4 linked regions of the Tamandua tetradactyla genome follow. The protein of the gene in region 3 binds, or shares a complex with, the protein of the main gene of each other region. Links are inferred from orthologs where the notes say so. Each region holds a gene or a part of one and is shown on either strand. Other genes may lie near its edges.

Region 1 (6,842 bases), on a different chromosome or scaffold from region 3:
TTTTGCTTTCTACTGATATCTCCTCAGTGACATTTATATTGAAGACTCTTCCATCCTGTCTTCTCCTTTGTATAGCAAAACTTTCTCAAAAAGTCACCTATATTTCGTATTCTTTTTACTTCAGTCCTTCTACTTCTGCTGCAATTCATGCAATTTAACCTTTGTCACACTTTTCCATGAAAATGTTCTCACCAACGTCATTTACAGCCCTACTTACGGAAATTGAATACTTTTTAAATCCTCATCTAGATTTCTCAGTGGCATTCTATACTCTTGACCATTCCCAACTTCTTAGAAATACTTTACACCGTATTCTACTGGATTTCCTCCTACTTCTTTCTCATTCACCTTCGTAGATACTTTCAGTTCCACTTAAACACAAAATAAGTTCCTCAAGGTTTGGTTCTGGGTCTCCTGTCTCATCTACACCTTCTTCCCAAAGTGTGGTGTCTGGATCAGTAGCAATGGCATCATCTGGGAACTCTGTTAGAAATAACTCTCCAATAGTCCAGTACAAAAACAGTTGGGAGTAGGGCCCCTCAAATGTGTTAAGTTCTCCAGGTGATTTCCCTAGACAATTTGATCTACAGCCTTTTGCCAGTGATTATAAATTTATCTCTCCAGCCCATACCTCTCTTTCAAACTCCACTTCTGGGGCCTGACTTGGATATCTTAGCAGTGCCTTCTATTCAACGTGTTCTTAACAGAACCACCCATAACCTCTTTATCTCCCAAGCAGTTCTTCATCTTCATCATAAATGACAGTCACCTACTTACTCCAGATAGAACCTGAGAATCAGCTTTAACTCCTCCCTCTTCCATACAATCCTACATTCAATCACCAAACCTCTTAAATATATCTTCCATTCTTAATCCTTACCACTACCATCCCAAATCAAATTCTTACCTATTATTTGGCCCTCTGCAACAGCCTTATCAGTCTTTCCATGACCACTTCTGCCTCCCTCCAAATGTTTTCATATCACTCCCTTGCTTAAAATATTTTTGTTACTTCTCACTGTCCAAACATTAAAGAATGAGATTCTTAACAAGGTCCCTAATGTCCTACCATTTTATATGTATAAAAAAGTTACAACTTAACTAACAGAGTACATGTTCATTAAATGTTAGCTACAGTCATCCTCTGTGATAACCACATATGACTTATTTTAATTCCTCCAACATATCATACTCTTTCTCATCTCAGCACCTTAATAGAAAATGCTTTTCCTCCCTTCATCTTACACACCCTTTAAATCTCAGATTTTTCCTGCACATCTCCCCAACAAAATTAGAAGTCTTATTGTTTATTGTGTGGTCCCAAAATATTGTGTACTTCATAATAAACACCATACTGTTAATTATGCAAATAGTATCTATTTCTCATTAGAATGTATGTTCTATGAGGGCAGGGAGTGGACTGGTCTTATTGCTGTAACCCTGTATCTAGCAGACTGCCTGTTGCAGTACTTAGCAAATGCTGGCCCATGAACACATTATCCACTTCCTCTTTCATAAAAATTTTCAGCCCTGAGTTCTGTCATACTCACCTTTTCTGGTTTTTCCTCTCCTATCTTTGACTCCTCTTTCTCTGGCTCATCTTCTCATCCCTGCTTCTCTTCGTATTGATCAAGTATCTGTCCTTGGCTATTTTCTTTAGCTTTGCTATCAACTGCTCCCTTGGCAATCTTATACATATCATATTTTCAACTGTCATCTCTAGGCATATGATTTCTTTCATTTATTTTCACCTTAATCTCTCTTAAGCTTAAATCCTACACTTTAAAATGCTTAGTAGATATCTTTACCTGATTGTTCTAATGGCATCTCGAATTCAGTTATGACTACAGCTGAGATTATGAATTCTCTCCCCCTCAAGTTTCTTGTCCTGCACTGTTTATCAGTAAATGACACAACTTCCAGTTAATCAAGTCTGAGGCCTAAATATTTCCCTCACTGAACCCTCCCTGACTCTTTTTACCCAAATAATCAGCAGGTCCTTATTGTGGATTCTGACATTTCTCACATTTGTCCCATTTTCTATTTTCATTAGTACTACTCAAATTCAGGTTTTTATTTGCACACTTGAACTAAAACAATAATTTTCTATTTTTCCTCCTGATTTCATTAACTGTGGCCATATCAATGTAGCTGAAGAATACTTTTCTTCCTTCTTTATTAAAAAAACCATTTTCTTGCTACAAAATCAAGGCTTTGTATACCTTCAAAATACTTGGCCTTGTATTTAAAAAGATTCATTAATAAACCTAAACTCTATCATTTCTTGCCTCTAAAAATTCTTTACAGCAGAGCCATTAGTTGGTCTTTTCATTTTTACTCATACTTTTTTTGGCTTGGGAAGATTTTCTTGCATTTTTATATTTTCCAACTTTCAAGACTCAGTTCAAATATTTCTTCAAGGACTCCACTGAAAGCTGCTGTGCCTTTCCCCACCCCAAATACTACTAATTGCCTCTTTCTCCTACGAGATCTCATAGTACTTTCTCATGGCACTGGCACTGACTACTTTAAACCATATCTGTTTGTAGTGTTATGTTCCCTACAAAATTCTTGAATACTTGAAGGGAAAAGGCTATATTTATCTTTTTGCCTATCTTTTTTTCTGCTTTACAAAGTACACAACATAATAGGTATCATTACTGAATGAAGGGATCAGAGCGAAGTGTAATGGTCTCATCTCTCCTCTAAAACAAATCTAACCATTTTTAATGCGCCAGCAAAAACCAACAAAAAGGAAACCCAGCACAACTCCCTTTCCCCACAACCAATCACACATCCAAAATAAAAACCCATAGCTCAAATCAAAACAAAACAAAACAACCCCTACTTCTTTCATGACTGAGTACCTGTATGTTCTCGTCTGGAATGCTCTCTTTCCCATTCTTCACTTTGTTTAAATTGATTATGCCCACCAGATTGCAAACTCCACGAGGGCCAGGGACTTGTTTTTCCACTGTTATATTCCTGGAGTGGGAAGCTAACATGTGCTCAAAAATATTCATTAATGAATGAAAGAGATTTTTGTTTAAATGTCACTTCCTAGGGCTTCTGGATCCCTCCAATCTAAACAGGTACTATATATAAATACAAAATATGTATATATGCCTTTTCCCTAGGTCCCATTTCCTAGTTGTACTGGTTTGAAACTATTATCTAACCCAGAGAAACAATGTTCTTTTTTTTGGACTAGGTCTCCCTGACTTTTTTTTTCCTTGGTTCTTTATTTAATCAAGGTGACATTAAAGTTTGAAAGTAAATAGAGGAGTTACATGATTTTTAAAAGACAAAATATATTTTTTAAAGCAAGGAAGCACTGTTTAAAACAATAAGGAAGAAGATAGTCTACATACATATCAATAACTATATTGGCCTGATAAGACATAAAATCTTTGTCATCTAGGTAGATTACTCAGATGGTTAAGAACCTTTTATAGCTTCTCACTAAGAACAAATAAATAATCCAAGAAAAGATTATCATTTAACGGAGTGAAAAACAAATTCTTGTTTTGCATGAAGATACATCTGAAGAGAACTCTATTAAAAATCTTACAAAACTATAAAATCGTATTCAACCTTAACCACAACCAATAAAGTTCACTTCCAACAAGACCTCTACAATTTTCTATATCCATTCATTTTGTCCAACACATTCCTGTTTCTCATTCTGCAACAATCAGTTATTTTACTTAAGGGGAAAAAGTACTCTCTTTTTCCTTCACAAAAACATTTTCTGCATACTTTACGTATTTAAATTACCAAAAAAGATCTTGAAATCAATCTTCAAGCCAACATTCTACAAAATACAATTCTTTTTTGCTTATTTTTTATTTTTTTGTAAAAAAACATATATACAGAAAAAGAACCCCAATAAATTTCAAAGCACATCACAGCAATTAGTTGTAGAACTAATCTGTAGAGCAGATTTCAGAGTTTAGTATGGATTACAGTTCCACAATTTTATGTTTTAACTTCTAGCTGCTCTAAGATAAAGAAGACTAAAAGAAATATAATATGAATATAATGATTCAGCAATTCTACTCATTGTTAAACCCTATCTTCTCTGTATACTCCACCATTACCTTTGATCTTTCACCTACTCGTTAGGGGTGTTTGGGTTATGCCCATTCCAACTTTTCCATTTGAAAGGGATTATAGATAATATGGGCTAGGGAGATGGAACTAGTTGATGCTCTGAAGAGGCTGTCCCCTTTGCATTTCAGGACTTATCTGGTCCAGGGACCATCTGGAGGTTGTAGGTTTCTGGAAAGTTACCCTAGTGCATGGAACCTTTGTAGAATACTATATAATGCCCTAGGTGTTCTTTAGGTTTGGCAGGAGTGGTTTTGGTTGGGGTTTGGCAAGTTATGATAGGCAGCAATGCCTAACCAAAGCATGCTTAAGAGTGAATTCCAGAGTAGCCTCTCTACTCTATTTGAACTTTCTCAGCCACTGATATTTCATTAGTTACACTTCTTTTCCCACTTTTGGTCAGGATAACCCTGATGATACCACAGTCCCAGGGCCAGAATCATCCCTGGGAGTCATCTCCCATGCTGCCAGAGAGACATTCACCCCTGGATGTCATGTTCAATGTGGGGTGGGGGGAGGCAATGATTTCACTTGCAGAGTTGGGCTTATAGAGAATGAGGTCACATCTGAGCAACAAAAGAGGTTCTGCAGAAGTAACTCTTAGACATACCTATAGGTAGGTTAAGCTTTTCTGCTACACAGATAAGCTTCACAAGAGCAAACCTCAAGATCAAGGGCCTGGCCGATTGATTTGTGTTTCTAATGTCTGACACAGTATCTAGGGTTTCCCTGATAGTAAAGTTTAATACTTCCAATTTTTTTCTGTCATCCCTCAAGGGACTTTGCCAATACTTTTTGATCATGTGCTTAATATATTTTAGGCTATGTCCAGGCATTATATTAAATATACAAGTTTAAAGGCCCTCATTCTTATTCTGGGCTCCTTGTGCTTCCATTCTTTAAATGAGCTGTCCAGACAGGTTGAGTTAGATTAAGTGCTACAAAAAATTTAGGTTCTGGACAAAATAAACCTTTCTTCTTTTGGTCTTAAAGAGTAGATGAGGTGCTAAAATATAAACAATGTCTTCCTTGCCCCTGTATTCTGAAATACCTTAAGTCCAACTTGATCCTTGATCGGTTTCATTCTTACCTCTAAATACCAGGTTATACATATATAAAACAGTCTCTCAAAATCCAGAAATAACAATCACCACTCCAGACTAAATGTGACTGCTATAAAAGCTTACAATCTAGGCCCCTCTTATAAGTATTTTCCAAATGAGACCATACAATAATTGCTCTTTTGTTTCTGGCTGATTTTGCCTGACCAAATGTTGTACAAGTTCATTCAATGTTGCATGCCTCACAAATTTGTTTCTTTTTTGTAGCAGCACAATATTTTAACACATGTATACACCATCATTAGCTAATCTACTTCTCTATCAGTTCATCCTTCATCCACCTCCATCCATTGGGCATCATTTATAATATCCAAAGTCAACAGTCCACCAACACTCAATTTTAGACAATTTCACAAGCAAATCAATAAACACACTCACCAAACAGAAAACCTAAGCCTCCCCTTAACTCTTGTCATTTGCCCCATTATTTACCTCTGGTGTAATAATGGTGTTGCTGTGGTATTGTTGATATTTTCCTGTTAAACATAGCCCATAGAATGCACTAGCAGTTTTCCCTCTATACCCCAACTTATATACTCTTTGTACAAAATTCATATCTTTGCGGTAGTTCATGTAAGAATTTATTTATATTTGTAGTGTTAATCCATAATACACATAGGTCCATACAATGCCTTTCAATCATGTTTACCTTCAATATGGTAATATTACTTATAGACCCACTAGAGAACCACCTTCACTTCTATTCCCCTACATTTGAGTTCAACCTCATTAGCTAACCATTCACCCATCTCTAGCTTCTGTGTATCTCTAAATCCCCTATATTCTTATTATAAGCATCTGATTCTACCTTAACCATGGTCATAAAAGTGGTATTTTCAGTATCTATCCTTTTGTGTCCGGCTTATGTCCTCAAGGCTCATCCATCTTGTCATGTGCTTCAGGATGTTATTTCATCTTACTGCTGCATAATATTCCATCATATGAATATACCACATTTTGTTATTCCACTCATCTGTTGATGGGCACTTGGATAGCTTCCATCTTTTGGCTATAGTGAACAATGGTGCTATGAACATTGCTGTGCAAATGTCTCTTTGGTCATTGCTTTCTACTCTTCTGGGTATATACCAAGGGTTGGTATTGCCGGGTCATAGGGCCACTCGATATTTAGTTTCCTAAGGAACTGCAGTATATCTTTCCTAGTGCTGTACCATTATACATTCCCACCAGCAGGGCATAAGTGCCCCAATTTCTCCACATTCTCTCCAACATTTGTGGTTGCCTCCTTGTTTAGTAGCAACCGTTCTTATAGGTGTGAGGTGGTATCTCATTGTAGTCTTGATCTGCATTTCCCTTATGGCTAATGAACATAAGCATCTCTTCATGTACTTTTTAGCCATCTGTTTTTGCTCTTCTGAAAAATACCTATTCATACCTTTAGGGTATTTTATAATTGGGTTGTTTGCTCTTTTGCTGTTGAGTTGTATGACTTCTTTACGCATATAGAATATCAAATCTTTATCAGAAGTGTGATTTCCAAATATTTTCTCCCATTTAGTTGGATGCCTTTTCACATTTTTGACAAAGTCTTTTGAGGCACAAAAACATTTGACTTTGAGGCATTTCCATTTATCTTTTTTCTTTTTTTTT
Region 2 (7,851 bases), on a different chromosome or scaffold from region 3:
AGAGCCCTCACCTTTAAAAAGCAACACTCTGGAGTCAGGGAAACGTGGGATCAGATCTTGGTTCTAACATTTATATCCGTAATTCTGAACCACTTACCTCAGCTCCCTGAGACTTACATTTTTATCAGGAAAATGGTAGTACTAATACCTAGATCAAAGGATTAAATGGGATGCTATATAGCAATTTCCTAGCACACTGCCTGGCAAACAGTAATTGTTTTAAAACAGTAGCAATTATTATTACTTTTAATAATAACTCCAATGGTTATTACTTTCTTTAATCTTTTACCTGCACCCTTAACCTTTTCTCAGCCTTCTTCATCGACCTCAATAATCCTTCAGAAATTATTTATTCAACTACTCCTACTTAGGGGGGTTACACTATATTATCAGGCCATGGGAATACAAAGAGTCTACATGAGAGAGGACAGACATAACACCAATAATTATAAGTGGTACACGCAGGAAGTATGCCATGGACATATATAACAAAGAGTATTTAATTCAAGGAAGCCTGAAGAAGCGCTTTTTTAAAACAGAGACCTGAAATGCACAAAGAAATTAGCCAGGCAAAAAAAGCGTTGCAGGCAATAGAACACATTTAAAGTTCAATAAGAAAAAGAGTACAGGATGATCTCAAGGAACTGGAAGTTGTACAATATAATTGGAACAGAGAGAGTGAGACAGAAGAGGGCCAAGAATAAGCCTGGAGAGGCAGGAAGGGCCATATTCTGCAGGACCAACTAAATTAAGTTAGATTTATAAGATTTCACCTTAAGAGCAAAAGAAGCTACTGAGGGGTTTTATGGAACTCTGCATTTTAAAACAATTTCTGGGATTTGGAGAAGATAATGGAGTCGAAAGGGTTAAAAATGAATGCAGGGAGATTATTAAGAGGGTCTTGTTGAATTCTAGGTGTCAAGGGAGAAAAGCGTGTACAAAGGTAGTAATAGTGGGATTGAAGAGAAATGGAACTATTGAAAAAACAATTCATTTGGGGAGTAGAACCAATAACCTTTTCAGGAAGCTGTCCCAGACATCTCCAGTTAACCATTCTTGTCCCTTTAATTCCCCAAACCTTGAGTATTCCTCTATTTTTACTATTAACACAGTGAATTTTAATTTTGGCTTGCTTTTCTATCTTTATTAGAATGCAGACTTCTTTGGACCAAGGGCTATGTCTTTCAATTCTGCATTCTTAAATTCTGCACACTGACTCAGAAGCAAGCTGATATTCTCAAGGTTTACTGACGTGCATCCTTCCCCTTACATAAACAACTTGAAGAGGAGATGGTTTTGGATTTGAATTTTTAAATATTTTCTCTGACGTTCCTGCAAATAGCTGATATTTTCATAGCGTATCATGTAACATAGTGATTATCAAATGGGTGGAAGGGGATAGAAGTAGTTTGGAAAAGCACATATACAAATAATTATATTAATGAAAAAGAAAATAAACTTTTGTTTCTGTAAAAAAAGTTACAGGAAGTAAAGCTTGACATTAACTTAGGTGCTGGAACATGGATTTAAGCAGTTGAGAAACATTTCACAGCTGTTTTCCTACTTTCCCTCTAATTATACTATTACTAGTTCAATAGGAATGGAATAAACAAATCTGTTAGATCTGTATGCACAATTAAGAGTAAAATGGCTCAAAATAAAGGTCTGAGAAACTTTTATGTAAGTCAAGTGTTTGAGTTTCTGATGATTCTCGTATACTGGCATATTCCCTAGCCTTGGCTCAGGCAGTCCCTACAGACCTAGACCACTTCCTCTTTGTCCATTCAAATTCTATGCGGAGTTTAAGATTCAAATCCTCCAAGATCACACGCTAATCTCGTCCTTCTCTGAATTCCAAGGGCAGTTCGAAGTCTATGTCAGGAAATTTAATAAGTGACCACGTTCTGCCTAGTAATTTCTTCTCAACAAGGGCAGGGAGACGCGCTAAAAAAGTACAAGTGGTGACAGATGAATACCAACAGTGTGCTTATTATAACACTCACGTGGAAGTTAAATCAAGCCCAATCCTAGTTCACAGGTGATAAATGCGTGACAGTCAACCTTTTATCTGACCAAAGGGCCCAGTTAATGAGCGAATAAGCTCTCCAGAGAGTTCTAAAGAGAGAGAGGGGGGAGGGGAATTCAAGCTTCCTCAACAACAAAAAAGCAGCTTTCCTTAGTTCACCCCACTTTCTAGCTTCCTCAAAGCCACTCCTTCTCCCCAACTGATCTCTTCCCAAGATGGAAACGACGAAGTCCAAAAATGATATGACATCTGCTTTGCCACCTGACCTAGGAGCGGAGACTCACCAGTTTCATATCGGACTTTAGGTTGTCAGATACCCGTCACTCGACTCCTCACACCCAGAAAGCGTTTTCCGGTTCAATCCTCGACACCGAGCCGCAAAGGGGATCTCGGAACATGCAGTCTTTCTTTCTACGCTTCCCTCTCCCAGGGAGTCATGGGAACTGTAGTCTTCCCTAGATGCATCATGGGAATTGTGGTCATCTTTCCTTTTCCTCCCTTTCCTCTCTAAACTCCTCCTTCCCTTAGCTCAAATTCATCCGCGTTGCCACTTCATCTTCTCGTTCTCTCTTTCTCTTTCTACACCCCAGCATGATATCATGTCCCCCATATGGGTTTGGGGTCCATGGTATTCTGGGACGTGTAGTCTCCCTGCGACTGAGACCCCTTTTCCCTCCTCCCTGTGGGAAGGCGGATGGGCGCGCGGCTTGCTGGGAGCTGTAGTTCTCTAGGGTCTCTAGTTGACGGGTCCCGCGCTTTTGCTCAAGGGAGGCAGGAACTACAACTCCCAGGATCGCCTGGCGGCAGCAGGTGGGAGCGGGGCTGTTGATATCAATATGGCGGTTGTCAGCCAGACAAAGACAGTCAGTCTGATGTGATTGAGACAAGGGTGGTTTTCAGGGGTAGACTGGGAGATAGGGGCCTCCCCTCCCCCTTCTCCTCTTCCTGCGCTAGTCTCAACCCCTCCCCAGTCCCCTTCCAACTGGCGCCCCACGCGGAAGACACCCCTCCCCCTCCTGCTTTCCCCTCCTCCTTACCTCAGACCTTCGTACTGGGACGTTGGGGAGGGGGCTGTGCCGGGCGAAGAGAACTCAGCAAGGATTCTGAGGTGAGTCGAGAGGTTTTGAAGCCGGACTTCCTCAAGTCTTTTCCCTTACTTCTTACTCTTCACTTTTTTTTTTTAAAGGGGTTTTGGGGAGAAAGTGTGTGGGCTGGGAAGGGTCTCCTAAGCGGCCCGATTGAGAAGAGGGAAGAATCAGGGGCTTCAGAGTGTGTGACCCAGACGCAGGGTATGGGGTGGGGCACTTTGTGGGGGGCTGTAAGTGAAAGGCGTTGGCTGCTCCCCAACTCTTTCTCCTTGTTTCCTAAACTGGGCGGAAGGTTTGAATCCTGGAGGTAGGGTCTGCAGTTTGGAGTTTGGGTAACTAAGGTGATTTTGAGGTACGTTGATTTATTTGGTGTGTACATAACTGTTTTAAACTGTGTGACGTGTACTTGTATGATATGTTTGTATTGAGTAAATGTCTATAGATAAGAAGTTAAATAGCTAGAGACATAGCTTTTTCCTGGGCCTGGGCTGAGAAGCGTGCGTGAGGTCCTGATCCTGGGCGTTTGGGCTGGCGACATGGTGCGGGGTAGCAACTCGTTGTGTCCCATTACTCACTCACATTACTCCTCCCTGCCTTCATCCGCTCTTCTGGACAAATCTCCGCCCCAAACTCAGGGTAGGAGAACTGTAGAGATGATGTGGTTTGGAGATGGATTTTTGCATCCTTAAGTCGGTAGATAGGTGGCAAACCAAAAGTGTTCTTAATATTTTATTCCGGAACCGTGTTCTGGTTACACTATTGGGGCTACTTTGAAAGGAGTCCTCCACCCACCCTCACTCTGGAACATTAGGTAGAGGTATCTCACAGTCTTCTTGTTAAATAGATTAACAATTACTTAAGAATTTGGTGTGTGGGGTGGGAGTCGGAAGTGCTGAATTCTGTATGTGTTCTCATTGTCTACTAAAGACACAGGATGACTGTTGCGTATCTTGAGATAAGACGAGTTATTTTCGTGCTAGGAAAAACTGTCGGAAATTATCTGGGGGGCAGCTGAAAGGCGCTGCTTGTATTTTTCTTTTACCCCACCCTGTTCTGCCTGGCATTTGCCTGGAAGCTGGTATGGAAGAGTGAGGAAGCATTGGGTGAGTGAAGAGAAGGCAGTTGGTATTAAAGATATATACTATGTAAAGTTGGATAGTATAAAGTGGTTGCTGTCTTTATTTACTCTGAAGCTTTAAAAACCTCATGTATCATTAGATGACTAGTTCATTTCTCTGGAATCTTGCTGGTAGAGATCTTCTTTGCTTCCTTCATCCTTCCATCCTTCCATCCTTCTACCAGCCGTTTTTCTTTCCTTTTTTTCTTGGCATGGTACATCATTTTTCTTTCCGATAGACATAATGCCTACTGTGCCTTTTTATTTAGTTTGCACTAATATGGTTGTACTTTTCTGTGGGTTTATTATCATATTTATCATTAAATGAAAAGGATCTGCATTTATTTTTATTTTGCATTTATGCCACAAGTGAATATCATTTAGGATTTTAGTGCTTTGCATTAAACTTATTTTTAAATCGCACAAGTTGTCAAATCTAGTTAAATTATGAAAATTTGAATTCTAATTTTCTTCTATTTGCAATCTGAATTATAAAGGAAAGAGGATCGCAACATCACTTGTTTCTCAGTCTTTAATATTTAATAACATTATACCAGGAGAATTTAGTATAATTTGTTTTTTACTTTCTTCAATCTGAAATGTAAGTTTTTAAATAACCCTTCTTAGTGGTGTTTTTAGTGTAATGGATTTTTAAGTAACTAAAATAATTGCCATAATTTCTATTTAGACTGTTGAGAATTTAATGTATTTACCTATTTCCCCTGAAACTTATCAATTCTTGAAACCACTACCTATCAGTAAGGGACTTTAGAGTGTACAAAAACTGAAAATCACATTTAGTATGTGATTTTATGTTATATTTCATAACTTTTTATTGAAATTTCTGCTGTTGGTCATTCACATAAACTGACTGAAGTGCAAGGTAGCATGTATATTTAGACTGGCCTGAATTTAAAAAAATTGATGTTTTCTAAATCTCAAATTTAGAATGTAGAATATGTTGGTTCAAAGCCGAGTCATTAGTTTGTTATAAACTAGGATTTCCAGAATTATTTATTTTAACATTATGTCTTACATTGAAGATTGAATGTACTGAATGTACTGAAACATTACATTGCAAAAACTGGGGAAAAATCCTATGTAACTACGTAATAGTGTGGTTTTTGCTGAACGATATTATCCTAGCCATAGAGTTTTAAAATGTTTAACAGTTATTTTAAGAAACAGACCTAAAATGTTTGTTGGAGTTGGGAAATGTGTTTTCTTCTACCTGCCCTACCCTCAAAAATTTTTTTGTTGTTGTTTTGTTTTCTTCTATGGAAATTCAAAGTTATTTGCTGGGAAAAGCTTTCGTTAAACTTACTTTGATTATTAGTCTGGATGAAATCTTTGCATGTAAACCACATATATTTCGTACATTTGTTGTGGGGGAGGGGATTCTGTTGCATTTTAAGCCCAGGGCATTAAAATGATGTAAAGCCTTTACTGCAGGTTAAAGCATAAAGCATTCTCAGCATGTGAAAGTCATATGGTTTACGAAAAAAAGTGGAAAATCAGGGCATTGGTGCCTGGCCAGCTTAAAATTTCATCCTGTAACTGTGAAAGCCACATTTATTTTCATGTGATCATTTCTAAAAATGTTGTCTATATTATGGCAAGTTGAAAATCCAAACAGTTTTTAACCCAATCTGTTGCTAGTTTGTGTATTGCATGTAGTGAATGCGATTTGTGGTTACAAATATGCATCAGGCTGCCTTTGGGAGTTTATGTTCAATATCTTTGTTGAGGCTTCATTTTCATTGCTGTATGAACAAATTTCAGTCTTTTATTAGGCAAGTCCTTAGTTAAAACATCACTAATATGAACTTATTATCTCCGTATTGGTAGATCATAAGCTATATTGCTATAAATCTCTCATGGTTTCATCATAAAAAACAAGTAACCATTGTAAGGCAATTTTTATGGCAAGTATTGATTAGAATGGCATTTCTTGTTTCATTATTTGTTGAAAATTATGGGAATATTCATCCAGTATGTTGTATTCAGTCCATCCTATTTTTAATGTTTCACAGAGCTACTATGTCTCCTGTAAAATCTTTGGTTTTTCTGTTTCATTGCAGCTCTTGCTCTATTATTTTTGTATGTAGATATTTAAATTTGAATGATTTCACTTGGCAACTAGAAATTTTTCCTTTGATGACATTTGTCATAAATTCATTTGTTTTGGTGCCATTCAACTTTTTAAAATGTGGCAATTTGTAGATATGCTTGGAAGTGCTGAGTGAAAATGCATTGGTTTGTTTTGTGAATCTGTTTTTCTTAAGTTGTTTTTCACTACCAAAGTTAATTTTATAGTTCACTTTGCAATTCTAGCCATTGGTTAGATATTTCTATTAACTGTTGGCTTTTACTTCTCAAATTAGAAGAACTTTGATTTATACAAAAAAATTGTTATGAGTGAAAGCCAGCTTGTCTATAGTGTCATATATGTACTCACCATATATAAAACATTTTAATGTTTGTTTATATATGACATTGATACATATCTATCAGACATGCAGCCCATAAAAAACAGCCTGTGCCACAAATAGCAGGAGACTCTGAACAGTGACTTACTCTAGAAACTAAGAGATAACCACCTTCACGTGCTTCCACATTGTAGAAACTATGGAGATTTTCAGCGTTTTATTGCTAAGCTATTGTATTAATAGGTTCTCAAAAATGTAGTTCTCTCAAAATATGGGTCTTGAAATTTTTCTAAAAATGATATCCTTCGTAATATATGACTTAGATACTATGTGCAACTATCCGTCAGATAGTTATTATTGGATTTAGGGTGTGTCATAGGTATAAAGATTTTTCTGAGTGATTATTTGATATAAAACTATAGAGTCTATTTAAACATAATCCAGTGCCTTAGATAACTCATTTTCCTTAAATTTAGATGAAACAAGTTGGAAATTTACTATAATATTGTCTTGGATGCTTTCCAGGAGCATTTAGTTACTGGAAGGCCCTGGCTTTAGCAAAGTTTCACCTTTACAGTGATACTAAGATTGAAGTTACGGTATGTTCTTTCAATGGTTATTATAATAATCTTAATGCAGAAGTTCGCAGATTGTTGATTGAGCTTTAACTATAGGCTTTTTTTTTTTAACATTTGCAAACAAAGGAGAAAAAAGAACAGTAGTCTGGTTTTTAACTTCGAAGTGATCAGTTATTTTATTTTATTTTTTAAATTTAAAACAGATGACCTGAGATTACCCCCACCCCCCACCCTATTATAAGTGATAAAATGGTGCTAATCCATTCAAAGGTTTTTCTTAAACTGAGAGTGCTGATTTTGATAAGAGTATATATATATATATATATAGTTACATTTTTAATAGAGAAAAAATCAAATAACTGAGACTCTTGGTTTAATATTTTGATAAAGTAGTAGAATTGTTAAAATATGAAGACATTTGGTTGAACCTAGTCAGTCAAGCCTTGGAATCATTCTCACTCTTCCCATCCAATCATGAAGTCAAGTTGATTTTACATTCTTTGTATCTATTCTCTTCTTTTCATTCTGTTGCTATTCCTTTAATTCAGGCCTTCATCATTTCTGGCTTATCACATTAGTCTCTTAAACTCATCTTCCTGCTTTCAGTTTTTTC
Region 3 (8,001 bases):
GCAGGTCAGGCCCTCAGCACAGAGGAGTCCCAGCCTTTGCCAGCTTGGCTCTTGCTCAGTCAGTTCTGCTCCCCACTGCCTCTGAACTCCAAGTGACCCAGATGCAGACACTGTCCACACCTCTGGGCCACACTGCTCGCCACCATGTGCCAGCCAGGCCACACCCAGACCGAGCCCTGGCACAGCTTCATTCCCCAGGAAGACGGCTCTGCTTCGCCTGTCTTCCTGCCAGCATTCTTTACCGCCTGTAACAATATCATCCATCCTGCAGACCTGATCTCACGCTGCAATTCTGACGTGCCTTCTCCCTACCTGAGCAGTCAGGACACCTGACTGCTCAGCCCCTTAGTGGGACTTACTCCGCGGAGCTTTGAGTTACAGTCACCTGGCGCCTCTGAGGGTCTGCACTCTGGGGGCAGGAGCCACAGGCTATTTATCCTCACACCCCTGTGACTCCACATTCATGGTCTCAATAACATGTGGTGGGTTCAGTTAAACTGATAGACCATTACCAAAGCTGTCAAGACGTTCTGTCTCGTAACTCCTACAAAGAATTTAACCTAAAGAAATGCTCCCACACAATCAAAAATACACAGACAAGGTCTGCTCTCAAACCTACGAGGACCCACGGGCTCAGTGTCTGGGCCTCAATCTCTCTAATAGATCTACCCCACAGGATGCTGTGGGGCCATTAAAGACAACCCCTGGGAAGCTCACACAGAAGCGTAGGGAAAACAAGAGATTCGCACCACGGTAAAAACACCTGTGTGCGTAGTGAAATCATGATCGAGCTTCTATTCTTCTTTTAGGTCTTTAATGTTGTAATGCGTTTTCAACTGGAAAAGGCGGGGGTAAAACGCTTTACTGTTTGCACCTGGGTGGGGAGATACACGCGAATGCAGACCCAGCCTCTCCAGGTGAGGGGACACACGAGGTATCCCAGCCACGAGAGAAGAGCCTCACCTGCCACACTTGCCACTGGTCCCTGTGCTCAGGGTAGCTCCTGCAGAGCAGATGCTCACCAAACGACTACCAGGTTAACTAAAGCTCCCACAGGAGAGCAGCTGGCAGCAGGCTAGGGGTGCACTGACCCTCATGCAGCAGCTTCTTCTGTACCCCTTCCCTGAAGGTGGGGAGAACACAACGGCGGAGGTCCTCCTCTCACCCCACACGTCACAGCTGATGAAGCATCTGCACACAGCAGTCTTGTTAACTCCTAAACCCTATTACTTTTCACCCCAACTTTACAGAGAAGGCCAACAAGGCTCACTGACCTGTCCAATGTCAGAAACTTGCTCTTACAATGTGACTGTGTCATTCTAGATCTCCCTGTGTGCTGCCCCCACCCCACCTCTCTCCTAGGCCATCTCGCCCTGGGCCACCTTAGTATTTCCCTGATTCTTGTCAAGGAATTTAGAAGTGAAGGTGGAATAAAGGCACCTGTACGAGAGGTGCTTTGGAGAATGAATTCTCAGATGAACAAACTGCCCTGTTAAGACATCTAGTCTCATCCGTCCTCTCTCAGGACCCTGACGGTGCTAAGCCTGGGAGGTGTCCACTAAACGCTGCTGGACTCACGAGGAACAGGGTACGTGCTCTGAGGAGCCCAGGGCCTACTTTACCTTCAATCGGTACCACAGATGGTTCTTTAATGGAAGGAGAAATAGCTCGTTTTTCTGCCACTGCAGCCTCAGCCAGGCGCCCCAGGGCACTCAGAGGTGGTGTGGAGGAGAGTTTGGGGCGTTTGGTGAGGCCAGTCAGGCCTGAGGAACCCGATAAAGCAGCTGCAGCATCCCGCTTGCGCTCTGAAGGCAGGCCGGAAGGGGCTGGCTTCAGGAGGGTAGATGCTGTTTTCGATTCATTGGCCTGACCCTTTGAGCCCAGAGCAATGAAATCTCCTGGAGGAGGGTGTCCTGCACAGAAGGGAAAGAGAATACATCCAATCTCCTGTTATTTCAGAGAGAGTTAAACAATGATGAGAGAAGGCACAAAACAAGCCCGAGGCTACTTAGCAAGTCAACAGCTAAACTGAGACTGGTATAATGTAGTATCAAGGATGACCAGCAGTTATGCAAAGCTTACCACTTACAAGTATTAGTTTATTTAATCCTTATGAGTTTCCAAACAGGGTAAAGGACAAGGAGCCCCAGAGAGGCTGAACATGCCCAGGGGTGCAGAGGGTGGAAAGACAAAACCGGAATGCAACTCCAGAGCCTGAGTTTTTAACCACCTTCCTGACGCTGCCCTCAACTACATTATTCTCCGATTCCTGCCTAGAGCCTTGGATGCACCACCTGAAACAAGGTGACAGTCTCCCAGGGGAGGCCACAGCGTCCAAAATCCACCAAGGACTCCAGAAGCTCTTAGGACCGAGGTTTCTTTCTAGACCTCATTGCTAGAAACATACTTTACTGCTAAATAAGCTCCAACTTAGGCCAAAGGGCAAAGCTGAGAAGTCCCCAAAGAGCCCGTTGCTGCTCTCACTCGCCTGAAGGTTTGGCCGCCGCGCTGGGCCTCCGGACGGCGGCAGGCTTGGCACGGTTCATTCTGTCCCCTTCCCCTCGCTGCTGCTGTGTCACCTGAAAGACAGCGCGACATCATTCATTCATTCCTTCCCCTGCCGTGCAGGGACTGAGGACCTAGGGGACGAACGGGGCCCGAAGTCTGCCCGGCGGGGCGTTTCTCAAAGGGGCTGCCTGAGACACCGGCACCCACGCCGCCTGCAAGGGGGCTCGATCGCGCCGGGAGCCGCGAGGCACGGGCCGGGGCGGCTGCCGAGGGCGCGTGGGCCGGCCGAGGCGCCCCGAAGCCTAAGGGAAGACGGGCCGGGCAAGGAGCAAAGAGCCAGCTCCGCCCGGCGGCAAGGGCGAGGCCAGGGCCCCTGCCCACTCACCTCCAGCCCATCGCCTAGGCCACCCGAGCGCCTTCCCGGCCGCTCCGGCCGCCCCGGAACCGGAAACGCTTGCTCCCGCTCTCCGCGCTCCCACTTCCGGAATTGTGGGAAGCAAAACAGCGCGGCGGGAGGCAGAGGAGAGGCGGGCGGGCGGCGCCCTCGCCGTGCCTGCAGCGCCCTCTGGCGGCGGGGCAGCCGCTCAGGACACTGCAGCTTCCGCGAGCGGCCAGAGCCGGCGAGTGCCCGCCCCGCCGAGTGCCCGCCCTTGCGCGTGCCCGCCCTTGCGGGTGCCCGCTCCGCCGAGTGCCCGCTCCGCCGCGCAGCCCGCGGGGAGTACGACTGGTCGGCTGTACAGACGGGCCCCGCCGGGCCTCGGGGCTCGGACGCCTCAGGGACGGGCGGCGGGCCTGGAGTGCCCCGCGGTGGCGGCGAGGGGGAGGGAGCGCAGGAGCCCGGCGAACCCCGGGCTCAGCCTGGGACCACCACCCCCGAGCCCCAGACCTGGGCCCTGCAGGAGCCGCGGCGAGAAGGGGCGCCGGGAAGGGGCGCGGGGTCCGGCGGGGAAGGGGCGCGGGGTCCGGCCGGGACGGCGGGGAAGGGGCGCGGGGACGACGGGGAAGGGGCGCGGGGTCCGGTGGGGACGGCCGGGAAGGGGCGCGGGGACGGCGGGGAAGGGGCGCGGGGACGGCGGGGAAGGGGCGCGGGGACGGCCGGGAAGGGGCGCGGGGTCTGGTAACGTTGAAAGTTCCCATAGCTTGTAACTCAGCAGGTTCACTTTGAGAGCAGTGTGGAGCAGTGCTACCCGATGTGCGCGGGAGGACCTCTCCTGCAGCCCTGAGCTGGGGCCTGCTTGAACCGCTGGTTGGAGCGGATGGAGCCCAGCATTTCCTGGCTCTGCATCCAGTGACATCATGCTGCTGGCTTGAAATCAGTCAATGCAGGAATATCTGCACCACAGAAATTAGTAAACACCACAAACCGGGACGGCGGGGAAGGGGCGCGGGGTCCGGTGGGGACGGCAGGGAAGGGGCGCGGGGTCCGGCGGGGAAGGGGCGCGGGGGCGACGGGGAAGGGGCGCGGGGTCCGGTGGGGACGGCCGGGAAGGGGCGCGGGGTCCGGTGGGGACGGCCGGGAAGGGGCGCGGGGTCCGGCGGGGAAGGGGCGCGGGGGCGACGGGGAAGGGGCGCGGGGTCCGGTGGGGACGGCAGGGAAGGGGTGCGGGGACCGGTGGAAGGGGTGCGGGGAAGGGGCGCGGGGTCCGGCGGAAGGGGGCGGGGAAGGGGCGCGGGGTCCGGTGTGGACAGGCCGGGGAAGGGGCGCGGGGTCCGGCGGGGACGGCAGGGAAGGGGCCCGGGGACCGGCGGGGAAGGGGCGCGGGGTCCGGCGGAAGGGGGCGGGGAAGGGGCGCGGGGTCCGGTGTGGACAGGCCGGGGAAGGGGGCGGGGACCGGCGGGGAAGGGGCGCGGGGTCCGGCGGGGACGGCAGGGAAGGGGCCCGGGGACCGGCGGGGAAGGGGCGCGGGGTCCGGCGGAAGGGGGCGGGGAAGGGGCGCGGGGTCCGGCCGGGACGGCGGGGAAGGGGCGCGGGGTCCGGCCGGGACGGCGGGGAAGGGGCGCGGGGTCCGGCGGAAGGGGGCGGGGAAGGGGCGCGGGGTCCGGTGTGGACAGGCCGGGGAAGGGGGCGGGGACCAGCGGAAGGGGCGCGGGGTCCGGCGGGGACGGCAGGGAAGGGGCCCGGGGACCAGCGGAAGGGGCGCGGGGTCCGGCCGGGACGGCGGGGAAGGGGCCCGGGGACCAGCGGAAGGGGCGCGGGGTCCGGCCGGGACGGCGGGGAAGGGGCGCGGGGTCCGGTGGGGACGGCGGGGAAGGGGCGCGGGGTCCAGCGGGGACGGCGGGGAAGGGGGCGGAGACAGCGGGGAAGGGGTACCCTCAGCCCCAGGCACCCACCTGCAGACGGGGTCCGGGAATGAGGCCTTCGAGAGGGTCTTGCCACTGGGCTCCTTTGAGGGAAGAAGACTCAGAAACTCCGAGTCTTTTGGGAGGCAGCAGGCAGAGACGTGTTGGTGGCAGGCCCCTCCCGCGTCCAGAGAGGAACAGAGGCAGGGTACCTCCATCCCGGGGTGGGGGTTGTGCCCACGAGGGGCCCCCTCCCCTCCCATCTGCCCCCCCCCCAGGGTCCGGGGCCCTCTGGCTGTAGCCCCCCAACTCCCCAGGATCAAGCCAGCAGGAGCCCATCCCAGCTCAGAGGCCTGTGGGAGCCCGAGAGAGGGTCCCTGGGCAGTGGGGGTGGCCTCTTCTTGAGGGAAGCTGGGGCGGGACGAGGCGGACTTGACCGCCCTGCGCCCTCCGGTACGGGGAAGCCACACGCCCAGCCCCAGGCCTTCCACGGAGCCTTCCTTGAACCCCCACGGCCACCCGCCTGCCCCGGCCCTCCCAGGGCTCCAGGCCACCCCCTGCCCACCCCTGGGAGACTATGGGGGTCCCTTTGTCCCAGCTGCCCGGAGGCTGGGGCAGGGAAGGGATTCACCTGGTGGCCAAGCCCAGCAGTGGCTGTGTGGTCGCGGACCCCAGAGCCCCGGCTCTGCCCCCTGGAGCTCGGCCGCTTAGGCCTTCCCACCCTGGCTGCAGGGCCGAGGCCAGGCAGCCCGAGCCCCACCCCCCACATCTGGGGCCAGGAGACTGTGGTAGGGGCTGCGGGCGGTGCGGGGGCTAGGACACTGCTGTACCCCTGCCCGGCTGCCACGTGGGCCTCAGCTCCAGGGGTGGCACAGGCGCCCTGGGGCTTCCTGGGGCCGGGGCAACATGGACAGGGCAAGGCGATGGAGGGAGGACAGGTGACTCCTCAGTCTGCCAGATGTTGGCATCGCGTCGGAGGGTCCAGCAGGCGAAGCCCCCGACACAGGCGTCCCTCCGTGTCCCCTACCTCCTGGTGTGCGCCCTGGAGGCAGGGCTGCGCTCAAGGTGGGGGCTCAGAGGGGATTGCTGATTGGACACCCAGGCGAGGGCAGGTGAGCCCCCCAGGCCTGCGGGTGGGAGGGGTGGCGGGTGGCTCGGGGATGCGTTAGGAGGACACAAGAACCATCCCCTCTGCACTGAGCCCTGAACCCCCCACATGGGGGTTGCCTGAGACCCCCCACAAAACCCGCAGCCGACAGGCACTGGGGGGGCTGCTTCTGTGATGATGCCTCAGACCCCGGGGTGCACGGGGGCTCCCCAGCTGGACGGGCAACATCACAGGCGGACAGTCGGCCCTGGCTGCTGGTGCACGAGTTCCAGCCCAGCCTCCCTCCAGGGGTGGGGAAGGGGTGCAGCCTGACCCCTTGCCCCTGTGACCCCTGACCCCAGCACCTCGGGCCTCTAGCCATTCCCAGACCAGGAGGATTCTGGGTCCCCTTCACTGCCGGGTGCCCCGAGGCATCACTGCACTGGGGACAGGGCAGGAGGGCGCCCTGGCCGCCCCAGGGCCTCGGTGCATGTGGGCGCTGGGTTTGGAAGCCAGAAGAGGCGACCATGATGAGTCCACCCCACTCTCTCCTGCTCCTGTTTGCTGAAGCTCCGGATGCCATCCGCCAGCCACAGTCAGCTTCAGCAGTGGGGATTTATTAGCTTACAATTGACAGGTCTAAGGCCGTGAAATTGTCCAGTGCAAGGGGTCAGCAGGATGATACCTGGCCTCTGCAGGCTGCCGGCATCGGGGCAGCAGTTGGTCCTTCTCTCCCGGGCCTCCGTCTAAGCTTCCACAGGCCCTCTCAGCTCCTTGGGGCTTTTCTCTGGGCTCTCTGGGCTCTTCTGTCTTTTTTCCTCATATAGAACTCTAGTAAAGGGCTAAGGTCCACCTTGAATGGATGGGGTCCCAGCTCCAGGGACACCACCTAAGCAGAGGGACCACCCGCAGCAGGCCTGTGCCGCAGGAGTGGGTTAAAAGGGCCTAGTGAAAGCGTTGCCCTCCCCCTGTGTGGGACATGACGTCCAGAGGTGAAAGTCCCTGGCGATGTGGGAGAGGACTCCCAGGGATGAATCCAGACCTGGCACTATGGGATCAACAATTCCATCCTCACCAAAAGGGGGGAAAGAAGTTTAATGAAGTATCAGTGGCTGAGGGAGTTCAGAGTCCAGAGACTACTCAAGGTCATTCTTAGGCAAGCTTCAGGCAGACCTTGCTACCTGTCATAACCTGCCAACCCCAACCAGGACCATTCCTGCCAATCCTAAAGAACACCTAGGGCGATATATAAGATGCCACATGGGTCCAGGCACTAGAGTAACTTTCCAGAAACCTACAACCTCTAGATGGGTCCCTGGTCCAGATAAGTCCTGACACCTAGAGGGCCCAGCCTCTCCAGAACATCAGGTAGTTCCATCTCCCTACCCCATATTAGTGACAGCCCCTTCCAACGTGAAAAAGTTAGAAAGGCCGTAGCCCAAATACCCATAAAGAGAGGGATAAAGATCAAAGGTGATGGTGGAGTTAGAGAAGATAGGGTGTTCCAAACTGCCAAAGCTGCCAGAAAGCAGCACACCAGAGATGGACTTGCTTTTAATAAACGGGGATGTATTTAGTAAAGAACGTATAGTTCTTCAGAGGAAAGGCCGCTAACTTTCATTTGAGGTTCTTTCTTAATGGGAAGGCACAGGATGGTCTCTGCTGGCCTTCTCTCCAGGTCTCTGGGTTCCAACAACTTTCCCCGGGGTGATTCCTTTCTGCATCTCCACAGGCCTGGGCTGAGCTGCCAGTGCTGAGATGAGGTGTGCTGAGCTGCTTGGGCTGTGCTACGCTGAGTCTCTCGTTTAAGCCTCCCATGAATTAAATTGAACCTCACTCACTGAGGACAGCCCTCCCATTGGAGACTGCAGATGGGATCCTCCATAGATGAGTTTCACAGGCCAATGATTCAAATCCACAGCAGCAGAACCAGACACATCACCTGGCCAAGTTGACACGAACTTAACTACCACATAGGATTTAACAAATGGATATGACTGCTGGGTCATTGAATTGACATCTCTTTCAGTCTCCAGTATCCAAGAGCAGCCAGAAATAAAATCCTGAAATTGTGAAATCATAATCTACATCAAACTCTTCAATATGTTCTACAACTAATTGTGGCA
Region 4 (7,138 bases), on a different chromosome or scaffold from region 3:
ACAATCAGGATTCCTAAGAAAGCAACTAAACAATATTCTTAATAGCTAGTATTGGTGAACTTTTCCACTTAAGGATTGTGATGGTGGAAAACAGGAAATTAATAGTTCTGCTACATACTAACCAAAAAATAAGGATAACCAAACAATGGAAAGTTTCACATTTTTCTTTGATTTCAAAAATAAAGTTTCAACTATAATGTAAGCATAAGATACCTCACCTTTACAAATAGCAAAGGAAAGAAACCCATTATTTTATAGAAACAAACTAAAAAGTTCATGGCATGGCAAATCTGCCTAAATTACTGAAAGGTGTGAAATGAAGGGGGGTGGAATAAAACTATAATGTGGTAAGAAAATACACATATACTTAAATGACCTGCAATTTGGTAAAAGCAGAAGTGACTGCATTGCAATGCACACTTTAAAGGTCACTGAACTAAAATCAGCCATTTGCAAAGGTCCTTAAACACTCAAGTTATCAGTATTAAGTAAAACAAACATTTCTAAAAGAAAGGAACAGTTCAAAGTTGCAGTCACAGAAAGAATTTCCCTGTGATACTTATGAAATCTGTGGCTCATGGAACGTGGGAAAAGATCAGATGTAATGTATAACTAAATGTATCATTGTGGTAATAGTGCTTTACACTACATCATAAGTCCTTGGGTTTAATATTCCTTTCTTATGTGCAACATCACACATTCTTCAGTATCTTTTATTTTCCAGGCCAGCAATCTCATATAAGAGTTATAAAGGACCACCTAGATTATTTCATAGTGAATCATCAAATGATTTAAGGCTCTGTGGGAAACCTTATGTCATCCTCAAATGAAGAAATGCAGGTACAACAGACGGACTTGTGGGGGGGGTTAAGATAGGGTTCCTTTCATATTTTTTCAGACAGCCTCTTTTCCAAGGGTTTGGAGTTTTGAAAAAAAAAACACCACCACCCCCAAAGAAAAACACCTCTAGACCTGCCATTTAATTCAGAATCCCCCTGCAATAGTCACTAATGGTGTATCCTTCAAAAGCTGAGAAATCTTAATGTGCCAAACCAGTCATTGTACCTCAATGAGAACCCTTTCAGAATTGCTATGTCAGAGGATTAAATTAAACCCTTTTGCATTTCCTCTAACATTTTTACTAATATAGAAATAAATAGCACTACTCCACAACCACTAAGGGTTGCCCATCTGCCTGTGGTAGGGTATCAATGCAACGGGGTAAGACCAGACAGGTTTCTTCTTTTATGAACTTCAAGGGATTAAGACCAAATTCATAACACGTAACTTACAGAAAAAATCAGATTCTAATTCTGAATACAAATGCACTGTTAGAACAAAAAAAAAGAGGGCTACAAAACCGTGAACAGTAAGGTGAGAGTTTCACCTTTGTAGTACGTGTTACTATATGTTTTAAACTTACTTCAGCTTAAGTTTTCACCTAAAATGTTTCATACTTCTATTTCAGGTCATATGGATTTTGGAGTGGAATGTGTTTTCCCACAGCATGAAAAAATCAACTATTTTTCCACCTTAATATTCAACCTACCTGCCCATAGTTGTCTATGCCAGTTACTAATCTATTTAAATTTAACAAATCAAAAGCTGTTCTTAGGGACTGGCCAAGAGTCGTAAGTCCTTCAGCCTGAAGGTTTTTCAGTTCATTCATAAACGTTGCATGGTTCTCTTTCCATCCAGCCTGAAAAGAAAAATTTAAGAATATTTTTTCGTCTTGGGGACAGCCATTATAATCTGATGTTCACCAAGTGGCCTCTTTTTCTTGACAGTATGGTCTGGTTAACTTGTTTTATATACTGTATCCCAACTGGGGAAACTCTCCTCCAAAGGTGGCCAAGAACAGGAGCCGCTTGCTCCCGGGGTGGGGTGGCCAGCTGCCTCCGCACTCTGTCACTTGGCTGGGAAGTAGACTACCTGATCTAACACCCCAAGGCGCGGGGTGCGAAGGTTCTGGAGGGAAGAGGACCCTCGCCGGCTGACCTCGAGCTGCCCGGCGGCCCGGGCCAGGCTAGGGCCCTCCGGGGGCGGCTCTGCAGCCCCCCGTCCCGCAGGCGCCCCCGGCTGGAGCCTGACCCGTGCCGACCGCCGCCTGGACGCCTGGGCTCCCGGCCGGGGCCAGCGGGGCGCGGCGGGCCGCTGTCACCCGGGCCGCTGGGAAGAATATCCCCCACAGTTCATTGCTGCCGCCGCGCCGCGGAGGGGAAATGTCGGCCATGTTGAGCGCAGCGCCGCGGGCCGCGCCGGGGAGGGGGCGGCGGTGGCGGGCGGCTCGGCGCCGCGCCGCGCGACCCGAGGCGGGGGAGGGGGCCCGCGGGGGAGTCGCCCGGAGACCCGCGGGTGGGGGAGGGGCGCGAGGACAGCGAGGGGGGAGCGGGGAGGGCGCGGAGCCGACACCAAGAGGGGGGGGAGGCCGAGGGCTGTTACCTTGATGGCATAGGGCGGCTCTTCGAAAGTGACCAGCATGTACCTGTCTCCGCGGCTGGCGGGGTCCCGGGCGCGGAGCTGCGGGAGAGCGGGAGGGAAGCACGCAGGCCAGGGTCCCCGCGCCGCATCCCCCCACCACCTCCCCAGTACCGCACACGCAGCACCCCCCCACGCCGCCCCCACACCCCAAGGGCCCCGCACCCCGCCCGCGGCCGAGCCCCGCTCGCAGCGCCCGCCGCCCGCCCGCCCGCGCGGTGGGGGAGGGGCCCCGCGGCTCCCGCAGCCGGGTCCCCGGCCCCGCGGCCCGTCGCCCCCACCGCCCCCACCGCCCTGCCCCCCGCGGGCCGCCGGGCCGGGATCGCCGCCCGGGCTCGCTCCGTCGGTACCTTCATGAAGGTCTCTACCGCGCCTTTGGCCGTGTCCAGGTAGGTGGTGCCCAGATGGCTGCGCTGGTTCATAGAGGCAGACGTGTCTATCAGGAACAGTAAGATGGGCATAGTGCTGGCCGGGGACACCGCGGCCGGCCGAGGCAGAGATGGCAGCGGCGGAGGCGCCGGGGGCGGCGGCGGCGCGCGGCCCCCGGGAGGAAAACACCGTCTGGGTCTTCCCTCCGGCTGCGGGGAGTTTCTCCCCCGATAGTTGAGAGGAAACTCCCCAGACCCAATCGTCCCCGTCCACCCCCGCCTCCGCCTCCGCCCGCCTGCCTGCCTGCCCGCTGGGCCGGGCGCCCGGCCGTCTGTCTGTCGGTCCGTACCCCCCCGCCTTGGGGGTCCCGTCCCCGCTCCCGGCCCCTGTGTGTGTCCCAGCGGGAGACGGGCCCGACTCCCCACCCCACCCCCGGTTGCAGGGAGTGGGGACCTGGGAGCTGGCGGAGAGGGGAGTGGGCTGAGGGGAGATTGGCCCTGGGGCTGTTGGGAGAAGTTTCAGGGACTCCCTCCGCACCCCAGCGGTATCACCACTTTCTCAGCCCCTCTCGCTACTGAAGCGCTTTTCTCTCGCACACTCCGGTTTTAACTCGGGCAGGGGCTGCAGAGGCTCCGCCCCCCGGACACGTCCCCTGGCCACGTGACGCGCCGCCCCGCCCTCGTATTGGCTAGCCCCTAGACTCTCATTAGCATATTCAAACAGCTCAGGGGCGGGGGAAGCTTGGAGGCCAGCTTTGGGGACGGTTACTGAGCACGCGCGGAGGCGGGGCGTCGGGGGCGCGCGAGCGCGAGCGCGAGGGGCGGGCGGGCGGGCCTGCCGGCGCGGAGGCGGGCTCCGGGAAGGGGCGGGGCCGGGCCGCGGAAGGGCCGCGGCGTGGGGGAGGGGCGGGCGCGCTTTGCGCCTGCGCGTCAGGGCCTCCGGCCTCTTCTGGGCTGGTGGAGGTGATCGGGGTCGGGGGGAGGGGGAGGGAGCCTGGCCTCGGCCTCTTCTGGAGGTCTCTGTGGCGCACCCCTACCCGGTGGGCGAGTGCTGAAGGGACGAGCAAAGTGCACGCGGGTCACTGTGCAGCGAGAGGCGGTGCACTGGGCGCGGGGCGTGGGGGGCGGCCCCGGCGCGGGCGGGTCCGGGAGGGGGAGGAGGGGTTGTTTATGACCAGGGACTAGCCACCTCGCTAGGGAGTGCGGACCCAGGGCCAGGCCTGCAGGGGAGCCGCCGAGGCTGGGGCCGGGGCAGGCCGGGTGCCCTCCGCGGGGGGCCAGAAGGAAAAGACCACCGAAGGGCATGGGGGAAGATAAAAATATCCGTCAGCCGCTTGCTGCCTTTTTACTCTGGGGGCAAGATTGACTGGGCCTAGCGGAAGAAATGCCTTTCTCACGTCGAGTTTACAAGGGGCCTTAGGATATCCAGCCTTGAGAGCTGAAAGGGCCCTCGGTGGCCATGACCCATTACCTTTCCTTTCCAAGTGGAAAACTGACTTCACCTTGCCCAGGCAGCCGAGAATGCACCGAGTGGATCCTGATCACCCTTCCCCAGCTCTTTCCTCCCACTACGTGCTACCTTTCAGACTATTAAAACAAGCCCCTGTCGTTTCACCTGGAGTAATGTGTCCTCAATTTACTGCAGTGGAAGAACTGGCCACATTGCCTTAGATACAGGTAGAATTAGGAGCACAGGGCTCTTATAAGCCTTTGTCGTTATTTATAGAAACTTTCCTACTCATGTTAAATGTGATTTTTTTTTTAATATTCTGAGATTCTTGATATTTGCCTATCGGTCATTTAGAGAAATTGTCCCAATTAATGTCAGCAGAGAAGAGATACTTTGTGTCACATTTTAAAAATCTGTGAGTTTCACAACTTGGAATTTTCCTAGTATTTAAGATATGCTCTGAAACTTTGTGCTAATTTGTAGTAGGACTATTTCAGTAGATAGGGTGTTTTGTGAGTACCTCCCATAGAAGTGTGATATTTGTAAGGAATTTGGACTATGAAGTAGAAAGGGTATGGAATACAGGTCTTTAAGCAGTTTGTTCAGCCACTTTGCTGAAGACCTACTGTGAGCTAGGTATGATGGAGAGTGAAAAAAAGAGGAATGAAGCACGGGGGCCCTCCCTTCAGAGTTTAAGGTTTTCTAGGAAAATATGACATACACATTAAAAACTATTACTAAACCCAAATGATAAGTGTGGTATAAACAGCTCTGCAAATCGCAGGAAAGCTAAGTGCAATCAGCCAAACCCAAAACAGGTAACCAGAACCTATGCCAGAAATGGAGCCTGAAACCAAAGGCCAGTGTTTGGTCCAGAAGCAATGTCCAGAAAGGTCGGGGTGGGGGGGGGGGGGGGGGGGGGGCGGGAGAAAAAGGAAGAAATCCGAACAAGCATAGGTAGCAAATCAAGAGGCAATCAGAAGCCAGGAAGCATTGACTGGCAGACCCTAGACAAAATTATGAAATAGGTCAAGTTTATTCTTAGTGACTCATTTGGTTGACAGTTAAAGCACAGGTTGACAATGGTTTAAAGCAATGATTCTTAGCCAGGAAATGCACATCAGCCTCACATATAGAGCTTAAAGTAATGACAATAAATATACCAGCTTGCCATCCCCAGAGGAAAGTGATTGATAGAGTAGAACTGGAATGGGCCCTGGTCGTCCACATTTTGAAAAACTCTTCATGTGAATCTTATAAATAATAGTGATTGAGAACTGCATGCTTAAAGTATAAAAAGTATGTGTCTGACATCTAGTAGGTACAAATAACTAAAACATTCAAACACCCTTAGATTTATTGCATTTTTGCAAGGACTCCTAAAATAAACAACCCTGCCAGCTAAAGGGAAGACTATGAATGTGGTCACCAATATATTTAACACAATATATTTAATATATTTTTGGCAGAGGCTTATTTAATTTTTTTTTAATTCAACTATATATATTTTGGCAAAAAATAAAGAGAAAAGTCATTTAAGCCGTGCCAGAGATCCCCACTGTCTCCTTCAGTGAGCATAGGTCCTGGAGTGAGCATGAGATGGGAGCCATGAGGCTACCTGTGATTCTAACATGTGGTTATAGAAAGATAATGCAAGATTGTTTTTCTAAAATGTGGCCCCTGAATTCAAGCCAATTATTTCACCTGAGATTCAACTGAAGAACCAGCATTTTAGTGCTAGAGGAAGAACCAGTTAGGAGTCTCTGTGCCCAGTCCTGTTTCCTGTTGTGGTTAGAAGATCAAGGAAAATGTTCCTGAGAAAGCACTGGTCAGAAGAGATATGGTGGAGAAAAAGTGCTCTCTGCTACTGTTTTTAAAGGAGTGTTGTTCAAATGCTCTGGCCCCAGTTTAAAAGGGAGCGAATAAATTGTACAGGAACTGCTGAAATAATGGTGACTCTGGGCCAGACAACGGCTTAAATGGTTGAAATGGAGCTATTCTAACAGAATTAAGAACTGATGAATTAGATACATTTGTAGGAGCCAACCAGAGCTCTTTTAAATTATTTTAAACCAATTAAGCAGGGTAACACGGTTTAAAAATAATTATGTGCCAATGACTCGGTTTCTGGTATCTGGGCATGACATCTGAACATAATAATCAGATGAACCTAGTGTTCCTCAATATGTAACCTAACCAAGTCTCTTCTGGCTAGCACACCAATGCTGTGGCTTCTGTCTTCTAACCTGTGTGAGATGACCTTAGTCAATGATGTTTAAAGATTGAGAACATCAAAGAAACATATAGAAGTGATAAGCATAAACAATTAGATGTGAAACTACATCCAGTGTAGTCAGGTAATACATACATAAGGAAATTTTATTTTGGTAATCCCAATATTACATACTATCAGTCCTCAGAAAAATGCTGCTAAGGACTACTATTAAAAAGAAATTCCAAGGAGCAGTGTTTCACAGTAAGAGTTGAAGTCTCAGATCATTCAAAATCAGCCCTGTAAATAAACATACTCAGATTGAGAAGGGAGTCACAGGGGAACTGTTTTTCTAGCAAAAGAACAGGAAATTGCAGTCAGTCTTTCAGCTATTGTTAATTGCATACCTGATATGTGACGGGCACTGTGCTAGACCCGCAGAGAACTTATGACCTAAAGGGAAAGAACAAAGACCAATAAACAAGAAATGAGAATAAATAGTATGGGATTCAGCAGACTCCAGGCATGATATAATAATGCCTGCCATACAGGGTTGTTTTGAAAATTCAAGGTAACATCCATATTTCATCAATTCTAATACACTATCACCACTATTTTGGGGCCATTAAC

What was found.
Region 1: INTS1 (region 3) and INTS12 share a complex: the UniProt entries of both Homo sapiens proteins name them as parts of the integrator complex. The link is inferred for Tamandua tetradactyla from reciprocal best matches to the Homo sapiens genes INTS1 and INTS12.
Region 2: INTS1 (region 3) and INTS9 share a complex: the UniProt entries of both Homo sapiens proteins name them as parts of the integrator complex. The link is inferred for Tamandua tetradactyla from reciprocal best matches to the Homo sapiens genes INTS1 and INTS9.
Region 4: INTS1 (region 3) and INTS6 share a complex: the UniProt entries of both Homo sapiens proteins name them as parts of the integrator complex. The link is inferred for Tamandua tetradactyla from reciprocal best matches to the Homo sapiens genes INTS1 and INTS6.

What each region holds. Positions count from the first base shown.
Region 1 is NC_135350.1:17,869,675-17,876,516, reverse strand, and holds the start of INTS12 (integrator complex subunit 12), read right to left. Parts: upstream 3,007-6,842; 5' UTR 3,006-3,006; coding exon 2,868-3,005; intron 1-2,867. UniProt on the Homo sapiens protein: Component of the integrator complex, a multiprotein complex that terminates RNA polymerase II (Pol II) transcription in the promoter-proximal region of genes.
Region 2 is NC_135329.1:30,332,496-30,340,346, forward strand, and holds the start of INTS9 (integrator complex subunit 9), read right to left. Parts: upstream 3,008-7,851; 5' UTR 2,320-3,007; coding exon 2,311-2,319; intron 1-2,310. UniProt on the Homo sapiens protein: Component of the integrator complex, a multiprotein complex that terminates RNA polymerase II (Pol II) transcription in the promoter-proximal region of genes.
Region 3 is NC_135349.1:1,062,570-1,070,570, forward strand, and holds the start of INTS1 (integrator complex subunit 1), read right to left. Parts: upstream 3,008-8,001; 5' UTR 2,894-3,007; intron 2,580-2,893; 5' UTR 2,547-2,579; coding exon 2,489-2,546; intron 1,914-2,488; coding exon 1,623-1,913; intron 1-1,622. Other genes in the region: uncharacterized protein LOC143667835, read left to right, coding at 3,805-3,813, 4,198-4,815, 4,905-5,900, 7,608-7,637. UniProt on the Homo sapiens protein: Component of the integrator complex, a multiprotein complex that terminates RNA polymerase II (Pol II) transcription in the promoter-proximal region of genes.
Region 4 is NC_135330.1:104,750,279-104,757,416, forward strand, and holds the start of INTS6 (integrator complex subunit 6), read right to left. Parts: upstream 3,015-7,138; 5' UTR 2,940-3,014; coding exon 2,829-2,939; exon of another isoform or gene 2,757-2,828; intron 2,521-2,756; coding exon 2,443-2,520; intron 1,700-2,442; coding exon 1,550-1,699; intron 1-1,549. UniProt on the Homo sapiens protein: Component of the integrator complex, a multiprotein complex that terminates RNA polymerase II (Pol II) transcription in the promoter-proximal region of genes.